2 linked regions of the Caenorhabditis elegans genome follow. Changing the gene in region 2 together with the main gene of any one other region gives a genetic interaction. Each region holds a gene or a part of one and is shown on either strand. Other genes may lie near its edges.

Region 1 (5,012 bases), on a different chromosome or scaffold from region 2:
AGATCATGTGGTGGTGCTCACTGATTCTCGTGAGCACTAATTGAATAATTTTGAAAAAGCGTGACTGACATTTTACAACTACATGTCCAAACTTGTGGGAATTGCAAACTAAAAGAACACTTGAACGTTTGAACATTTAAGATTGAGAAAAAGTGTTACAATAATGAGTCAAAAACGGTTACTTGTTCTGGATTGTTCAAGGCAATTTGAATAATCTTCACGTTTACTCACCCGTAATGCTGCAAGCATTTTGTCGAATGACATGAATTTCGAAAGTGCCGCCACATTTGCTTCGAGTGTCATTTTTTGATTTTTGTGTTCGGAATGAAGTATAGACGTCCGGAAGTATATAGTAGAATGGTATCATCAGCACTTCATTGTTGTTTTCGGAATAATTGAGAAAGTAGGTGTTGTGAGAGGCGTGGTCCCAAGTTTTTGCGGTAATATGGAACACACACACTTAAAAAAATCGGGGCCGAACGACGACACAACAGGCAGCAGTAGCAAAAACTTCAGTGCGTCCTGTGTATATGTACGGTGCGTGTGTTTCACCGTTTGACCTTGGAACGGCCCAAAAAGGAAGCGAATTTAATTGTAAGTAAGAAGTAAGTGTGAGCACTTATGCTTATCGCTTTATCAAAACACCGGCGCTGATTACCGTAGTTTGGCGTTCCGAACAGGTTGTGGATAGGTTGATTGTTTGAAGATGAAAATTGAGATATTGAAGATGACGATGATGACACTGGACTTTAAACTTTGATCGTTGTTGGCAAGAATACAGCTTCTTTGTTTCAGACCTAGTTGGTCCGAATAATTTCAACTAGAGCTCACTATGAGTTCATTTATTTCAGGTATCGTAAAAGCTGAACGACTTTTCCAGAATTTTTCCTTTCGAATTTTTCCAGTACAGGTTTCATTGAAAAAGCGTTTAGATGTAGAAGTAAAAGTCCACCATTATCTTGAGCGCATTTTGTATCTTCAACACATGAAATTTCTCTCATCATTTTCTCGAATGTTGAGAGCACATCACACTCAAGAACATCAGTTCTTCTTTCCTCTCCACTCACTTCTAAACAATTCCCCGTCAGCAAAATGGCGTGAGTTTAACGCTGCACAAAACATACGCCGAACTTCGAAAAAGAGATGAAGACTAATTGATGAGAAACAATCAATAAGAAGAAGGATCGGATCAGAATGGAACTTTTTGAACTTATAATAGAAGCTTATTACAAATTTCTAAAACTGAATTAAAGTTTGATAACTAAATGTCCTTTAGAGTGTTATTATATTCATTTGTTAACACCATGTTTTCTGAATACACACAAAAATATAGAGCATTAAATTCAATGAACTGAAAATATATGTAGCTCCAATAATTCAAATCCAATAAGATTCTTGATTGAAGAAAAGAAAATCGTTTAGCAATTTAAAGTTATAGAATACTACCGCCAACCACAAAAACAACAAAAAGTTTCATCTTGGTGCAATGGTTGAGTCAAGTCATAATAATCTAACCTGATTGAAAAAACATAATAACAAACTAACGTCGTCATCGCTGTTTGGAGGTGTCAAGCAGTTATTCTTGCTGTGTATCCGCCTGTGGCGCTGAAATAAAAAAAATTATTTAAATATTATTTATGATATTTTTAATTACACTTGCTGGGCTTGACGATTTATCATCGTCGTCAATCTTTTCAACATCAATTACACTTGCTGAACCCGGAGTTTTTGACGTTTGAATAGGAGTTTCGTAAGAAACAGCAGAAAAGTAATATGGAGTTGGATAGAATGGAAGTTTGTGGAAATTGTGGAAAGAGTTACTATACATGGCACTGTGAGAGTATAGATGGCGATTGTATGTGTTGTTGCAATGATCTGTTTTGCCTACTTCATCTCGGCGCCCCGTTAAGATAGCCGTCGATTTCGGCGCTGGGAGGGTCGAACAGTTTTCAACTCCCCCAAATTGCACTTTTGATGTAGAAATTCAGAGAGAATAAATGTTGCTGCTAACAAGTGGTGGGAGGGTACGGTTACACAAAAGATAGAAAACGCACGAAAAGAGATGATAAGAATATGACTCCTTTTTGTTCTCAGAAAATATTGGCCACTCTAACGCTTATCGCTACAAATCGAACATTTAGACACAGACCGCCGAAGATGACATGTCAACGTTCTAAAATCAGTGCTGTTCTTTGAGAAAGAAGCAGACATATTTATGTGTTACTTATAACAGTTAAACGTTTAAGCTCTACGAATACTTTAGAAAGTAAGATTTTATTTCCGACACATTTTTGAGTGGAAAAGGGGAAATAGCTGCAGAGAGGACATTGTTTCATAATGCCGATTGTACCAGAATGGTCGAATTTTTCAGTTTTCAAACCAAATATGAAATTGAGAACATTTTGAAAATTGTTCTACCATGATATGCCGTTACTACATATTTTGTGTTTTTTTACTGACACCAGTAGATAGGCTTGAAGTGGCTTTGTAAGTTAAGACTAAATAAAATTGATGAGTATCAACTCTAAGAAAATTTCAATACCATTTGTTCGAAACTTCTACAAAATAACTGAGGTTTAAACATAAATGTTAACACATTCTTGTGAAAATGATGCAATATATTTTGCAAAAAAGGTCATTTCTACAAGACTATTCTGCATCTATTCCCACAAGCTTTTATTGATACTTTGGTCTTCTGTTTAGCTGATGAGAAAAAAATTATAAATACGGTTTCAACTTTAAGTTTGTTATAAATAACTTGTAAATATCCAATTTGTTCACCTTTTTGCCGATTTATACTAATTTTCACATTTTTGATTGCTTTACACAGTTTGTACTGGCTCTTCTCGGTATACAATTTTTTAAAGCCGTGAGATTTTAGAAATCACTTACCCTGCGGGTTACTCGTTTCCTTCTCACGACGGGCTCCTCTACCTTATCTGGGTTTTCATTTGTTTCGATTTCCATTGACTGTTCCGCAATGACTCCTCCATTTGTGCCCATTTAATTGGCGCCCGTTGCGCCGAAATGTGCGCTGAAAAATTTTCATTATGTTTTTGTAAAGCAAGTAAAGCAAGATTTTGAGCAACATGGAATAGCAAGGAATAAGTTTCCAAAGTACACACTGGTGATCAACAGCCACAAAAGAAAAGATCGGAAGAGACACAAGAACGGGGACGGGAGGTCGTTATTTGTGAATACTTTGTCATTTTTCTGCTGTGATTTTTTTTTTTGCGTGGAACAGTCGAAAAAAAAAAATTTTGCTACTGCTAATTTTAAACATATCTACTGATTGCGAGCAAAGTTTTGTAAAATTGAAACATCTCGATTAGGCAAAACAGATCTCGTCAAAACTTTCTCTATAAAATAAGTTTTTCTTTTTGATTAGATATTATATACAGTTATAACTTGTAACGAAAAATTGGGAAAAAAATGTTTTTTGATGAATGAAGCTCGGTAAAGTTATCTACATCGAAAGTTGTTCTTGACGACCAGCAAAAAAAAAACAAACAAACCAGATAACTGGGTTAACTGGTGCGTGGATATCTACAATTTAAACTGAAATAAAAGTACATTTTCATTATCATGTTTTCATCCGCTTGGTTGATGAGTAGAACTAAGATTTAGTCTCAAGTAGACTCTGCTGTTCATACTATTTCTGCCTTTTTGCTGGCACGCATAAATTGATAAATTATGTATTTATCTCTAAAAATTTAATTGAAAATCTGTCACTTCTGATTATAGTGTGTTTGTTTCATCAAATCCTAATGCTTAGCACCAAAAATCTGATTCGTTTCATTTTGACGTGAAAAATTGCTAAATTGGAAAGATGAGAAGCTGGAGAGGAAGGCATTTGAAATTTGGATTTGAGATGGCATATGGGGAGGGAAAAAGCGGAACAATTGTAAAAAATGTCGTGGTCTCATTCACTCAACACATGAAACTGCACCTACTGAGAAGAATATGCATTTCTGGTGAAATATTGAAATAAAACAGCACGGAACGAACAAAAAAAGGTTTTAGAGAATGTAAGAAATTGAAAAATAAGTTGTGGTGCACTCAATTCTGAGTCAAAAACAAAAAGATTGAGTTAATTTTCAGATAGAAATTTGATATTCGGCCAAGAAAATTGATGAAATTAAAATAAAATCGAGTTGCGGCATTTGAAGAACTTTCAATGTTTTCAAAATGTATTTTGATGCAGAATAATGTTGCAAAATGGAACAATCACGAAAGTGAAATAAAAAATCTAAAAATTTATCTCAAAAGTATTAAAAAAGTTTTAAAAAATATTTTTGACTAACTTAGGGAAAAAAATTAATTATTTTTGAATAAGTTTAATACAAAATGTAAAATTAAACTTAATAAAAATTACATCTCCTATTCAACTGATTAATGGAAAAAGGAAAGTACTGAAATACTAAATAAAATTAAATTGAAAAAACCATTTTTAGAAAATGTTTTCATTTTGAATCCAACTTTAAAAAAATATCAGTTACATTTAAGATCACTTATCAGACAAATAAAATTATTTTCAAAAAAAATAATTTGAGGAACCAAAAAATGAAATACGATTAGCAATGTGCCTAAAGGTCATTTCAGATAAAACTAGACGCAACATCCAGGGAAAAAAAGAAAAAGCAAAATCCAAGAGGCGCCGGGCAAAGAGGGACCGCGGATGCCCACGCAAGAAAATGAGACGCAGAAATGGTGGAAAAAATGTGGGAAGGCGAAACGAGCATTAGGGTGGGTATGTTGCAAGAAAAAATTTTTAAAATACGCAATAGGGTGCACTTTAGAAAGAGTAATGGTCATTAATAGTTCAAACAAAACAAAACATTGAAAATAAAGAGGATAATTAATTAAAATAAGTTCTAAACGGGCAATAAAAACCAAAGGATCAGACTGTCGCGGATAGGGAAACTAAGTAAAAAAGATAGGAAGAGTGAGAGAAACGAAACGAAAAACGAGAACCACTGCACTGCGAACATTTATTGAGCACTGAATAAACA
Region 2 (3,919 bases):
GGGTACATTAGAAGCACTGTAGGATTACTGTATTTTCAGTGTATTACGTGAACACTGAGAATGCGCATTGAGCAACATGTTCGACGCGCAAAATATCTCGTAGCGAAAACTACAGTAATTCTCTAAATGACTACTGTTGCGCTTGTGTCGATTTACGGGCTCGATTTTAGAACATAATTTATTTTCGAATTGTGACCGAAATATTTGAATTTCATCCTATTTTTCTTTTTTCTGTCATTCCGAGTCAAAAAGTGAAAAAGAACAAAGCAAAATCAGACCATGGCTACAGTAGTAATGTAAATAATTTCTGTATTTTTCGCTACGTGATATCTGTGCGCCAGACAAGTTGCACAATACGAAATTCCAGAATTTAGTTTTTCCGTATTAAAAATTTTTGCACATAGTATAACGCCTCATGTGTTAATAAATTACCCTTAAAAATTAACATTTCTTGTCCAAATTGAGGAAAAAGATCATTTTCATACTTTCATATTGTCATTATCAACAGGTGAATATAACATAATAATTTACTCCACGACAAAAAAAATGGTGAATATGATACTATAATACGGAAAAATTGAGGAAAAGCAAAACAGTGTTCGATACGAAATAGAAGAGAAGCGAAATTAAAGGTTCGAGGGGAAGGGAACGATGAAAACGAGATTTGTGTGTAGGTTTGTGTGCAATTACGCGCAAAAATCACAAAAATAGAATAATGGTTCAACAAGAGAAGAGAAACACGTTCATACTTCTTCTCGTTACACAACACTGTTTCAGGGAATATTTGAGGGAGATGGAGGGCGGAGCAGGTCAAAAATGGAGAGAAAAACAATGAATAACTTACATATTATTCCCGTCAGGAGCGGTTCCAAATGTAATCGGATAAGAAAAAATGTCGGATTTGGAAGTTAAGAAGAAATAGACGACAAATGAATTGGGGCTTTAAATAAAAATTGGGTTGAAAAAGTAGAAGAGGGCGATGGTGATCAAATTAAAAAGCCTAAGGGATGGGAGAGGGAATTTCAAATGGAACAGAGAAGAACAAAGAGAATGAATGGGGAGAAGAAAGGAGTTGAAACGAATAACAAAAACGGATGATTCGTAGTCGTTTATTCGTCGAAGGTGGATTCAGAAAAATGATTTAAGATCTATTCTTGAGCTGGTTGCTGAGCCAATCGAGTCCTTCATAGAGACCATCTCCTGATGTCGCACATGTGGCCTGGAATTAATTTATTATTGAAAAATAGTGAATTTCTTTAGTTTTAAAATATCAGATGAGAAACTGCTGATTAAAAATATCTCACCTGAATATACCACGATCGATTTCTGAGCGAGTGGAGCCCGAGCTTGTCAGTGACCTCAGCGGCGTTCATGGCTTGTGGAAGATCTTGTTTGTTGGCGAAGACCAGAAGAACGGCATCACGAAGCTCATCCTCGGCGAGCATACGCATCAGCTCTTCACGAGCCTCTCCAACACGTTCACGATCGTTGGAATCAACAACAAAGATAAGTCCTGCAAGAAAATATAATCAATAGAGCATTTTTTTTGGACAGTCTGTGAATTCTTGCGGGTGATAAGCTGATCCGCAAACTATTCTCGTAAATCACTAACCTTGTGTGTTCTGGAAATAATGCCTCCAGAGTGGACGGATCTTGTCCTGACCTCCGACATCCCACACGGTGAATGAAATGTTCTTGTATTCGACAGTCTCCACGTTGAATCCTGAAATATGAATAAAAATTATGACTCATTGTGAACCGTTCTTTCGCAACAAAAAAACGTCCCAATGACTCACCAATAGTTGGGATAGTCGTGACAATCTCGCCCAGCTTCAACTTGTACAAAATCGTAGTCTTTCCGGCAGCATCCAATCCAACCATCAGAATACGCATCTCCCGTTTGCCGAAGAGGCCTTTAAATAAGCTGCCGAACACGTTTCCCATTCTATAAATTGATTAATAAATTAAATTATTGAATTTCAGAAGAGGAACCGATGGAAGTGAAAAGGAACGCTAATAAAATGTGAAAGCTGAATCAATAATCTTCGTGGGAAATTGCGAAAAATTCGGGAAGATTTCAAATCCAATACGTGAAAATGCCAGCAACGACAATCGGAGAAAAAAGTACGGAAGACGATTGGAAGGAGGAAGAATCGGGTAAAACGTGGCAAGGAGATGGATATCTATAACAGGCGCAAGGAGCGAGAATCCAGCAGAAATACATCGGCTACACCGTCCAACGTGTCACTAGCACAGCAGTCTCTGGCGACCAGTGGAGTGTCTCTTCCTCTCTCAACCTCTCGACGCTGCTTTTTGTCTTGTTCGCTGGGCGCGTCGCGTGCGTTGCGCAGCGGTCGAATAAGAGGAGATAGATGGCAATAAGTGAAGAGACCGAGACGTGAAAGTACCGCAAGAGATGAGGAGAGAGCGAAAAAGAACAAGAGACCGTCCAAATTTGTCCGCTAGTGCAGGACGGAAGGATGAAGAACACATACACACAGGAACGAGAATAGTAATGTTCGAGTTCCTTCTACTGACTCCACGTCAGCCGTACGTTGAATCTTTCAATCCTTCAGTGAAATCTTGATTGATTGATTGAATGAACCCGAAAGTTCTAAAATTTGAACTTTGAAACAAACTTTTTCGAGTGATAAGACGATAAACTGCAACATTAAGAAAGTGATGAAAAATGCTTTTTGAGAGAAGAAAAACCTATTGAACGCGAGCGCATTGTTGAGAAATTTTGAAAATCGTGACGCAATTAAAAACTCTGAAAAAAGGACACGTGTCACAAGAGTGCAGCACGAGATACTGTGACTAATAAATAGAATCAGATGAGAAAATTAATATTAAATCAAATACAAAGCGCCAAACTTTCTAAATAGATGACCCGCATTTCCGACTAAAGCAATGTGGCGCTTCTGAAGAATGTGCTGGAGAAAAATGAAAGCTTAATAGAAACCGGCCGCCGCAGACAGTATAGATCAATGCCTTTGCGCCAATCTAGGATAGTTCATCTTTCCGCCTTTCAAAATGCCGAGAATTTCTTACTTTCTGCAGTAATTATTAGGAGTCACAAACCTTGATTTTCGAGCTTTTTGCGTTCAAATTCGGAAATAAATGAAATGACGATCAAATCAAAGATAAAATGTGACGATTGCAACGTCGAAGCAAGAAAAATTGGAGGAATAAAGTTAAGAAAGAACAAAGAAAAAAAAAATTAAAATCATTTATTTTCTGGCAATTCACGGCTAAATACGACGAAAACACACCGGTTTCCGCAAAAATACCTGTGTTTTATTGAAAATTAACTCGTTTTTTACTCGTCACTCGGGAGGGGCTCTTTTTGTACTCGTTCACTTTTCAGTGGCCCGTCTTTTATTCTTTCGCTGATTTTTTTTCGAGATCACAGCCATTATGTATTCTTTTACTTTATTTTTCTCATTTAGTGGAGTTATTGCTCTCTTTTGCTCTTTTTTGCTGGCTTTTTCATCAATGAGATATATCGATAGAAATAATGCAAACAACAAAAATGAACGAAAAAATAATGGGAACTTGTCAAGGAATCAGGTAAAAATCAATAATCATTGCGATTCTGAACAGATCACATGACAAGTTCTTAGCCAAGAACAATAAAAAATGAAGATGAAAAAGTATTGCCAAATGGGCAGTTAAACTGAAGACAATTAAAGAATGATAAGAGAGGAAATGTGATAAATTATAATGGATATACAATAGAAAAAATCGAAACAGTTTCTGATAGGCAACAATAATAAACGGGAAGAAAAATTGAGGTAAATCTGAGGTTAAATAGGCTAACCAGCCAGATAACTAGAAAAGTAACCATTTGGAAACAACGAGTAAGATCACCAAGACAATATTTTGAGATCAAAGTTCTAATATAACTAGGACTAATCAT

What was found. A genetic interaction does not mean that the proteins touch.
Region 1: of arf-1 (region 2) and daf-12, changing one suppresses a phenotype caused by changing the other (phenotypic suppression), as found in Caenorhabditis elegans (one study listed by BioGRID).

The regions. Positions count from the first base shown.
Region 1 is NC_003284.9:10,642,431-10,647,442, reverse strand, and holds the start of daf-12 (Nuclear hormone receptor family member daf-12), read right to left. Parts: upstream 3,004-5,012; coding exon 2,893-3,003; intron 1,606-2,892; coding exon 1,546-1,605; intron 1-1,545. UniProt on the Caenorhabditis elegans protein: Nuclear receptor which binds directly to response elements in target gene promoters. Activity is modulated by binding of steroid hormone ligands that include dafachronic acids.
Region 2 is NC_003281.10:5,714,141-5,718,059, reverse strand, and holds arf-1 (ADP-ribosylation factor 1-like 2), read right to left. Parts: upstream 1,946-3,919; 5' UTR 1,945-1,945; coding exon 1,797-1,944; intron 1,724-1,796; coding exon 1,613-1,723; intron 1,514-1,612; coding exon 1,305-1,513; intron 1,220-1,304; coding exon 1,142-1,219; 3' UTR 516-1,141; downstream 1-515. Other genes in the region: rbm-26 (C3H1-type domain-containing protein), read right to left, coding at 3,912-3,919. UniProt on the Caenorhabditis elegans protein: Small GTPase involved in protein trafficking between different compartments. Modulates vesicle budding and uncoating within the Golgi complex. In its GTP-bound form, triggers the recruitment of coatomer proteins to the Golgi membrane.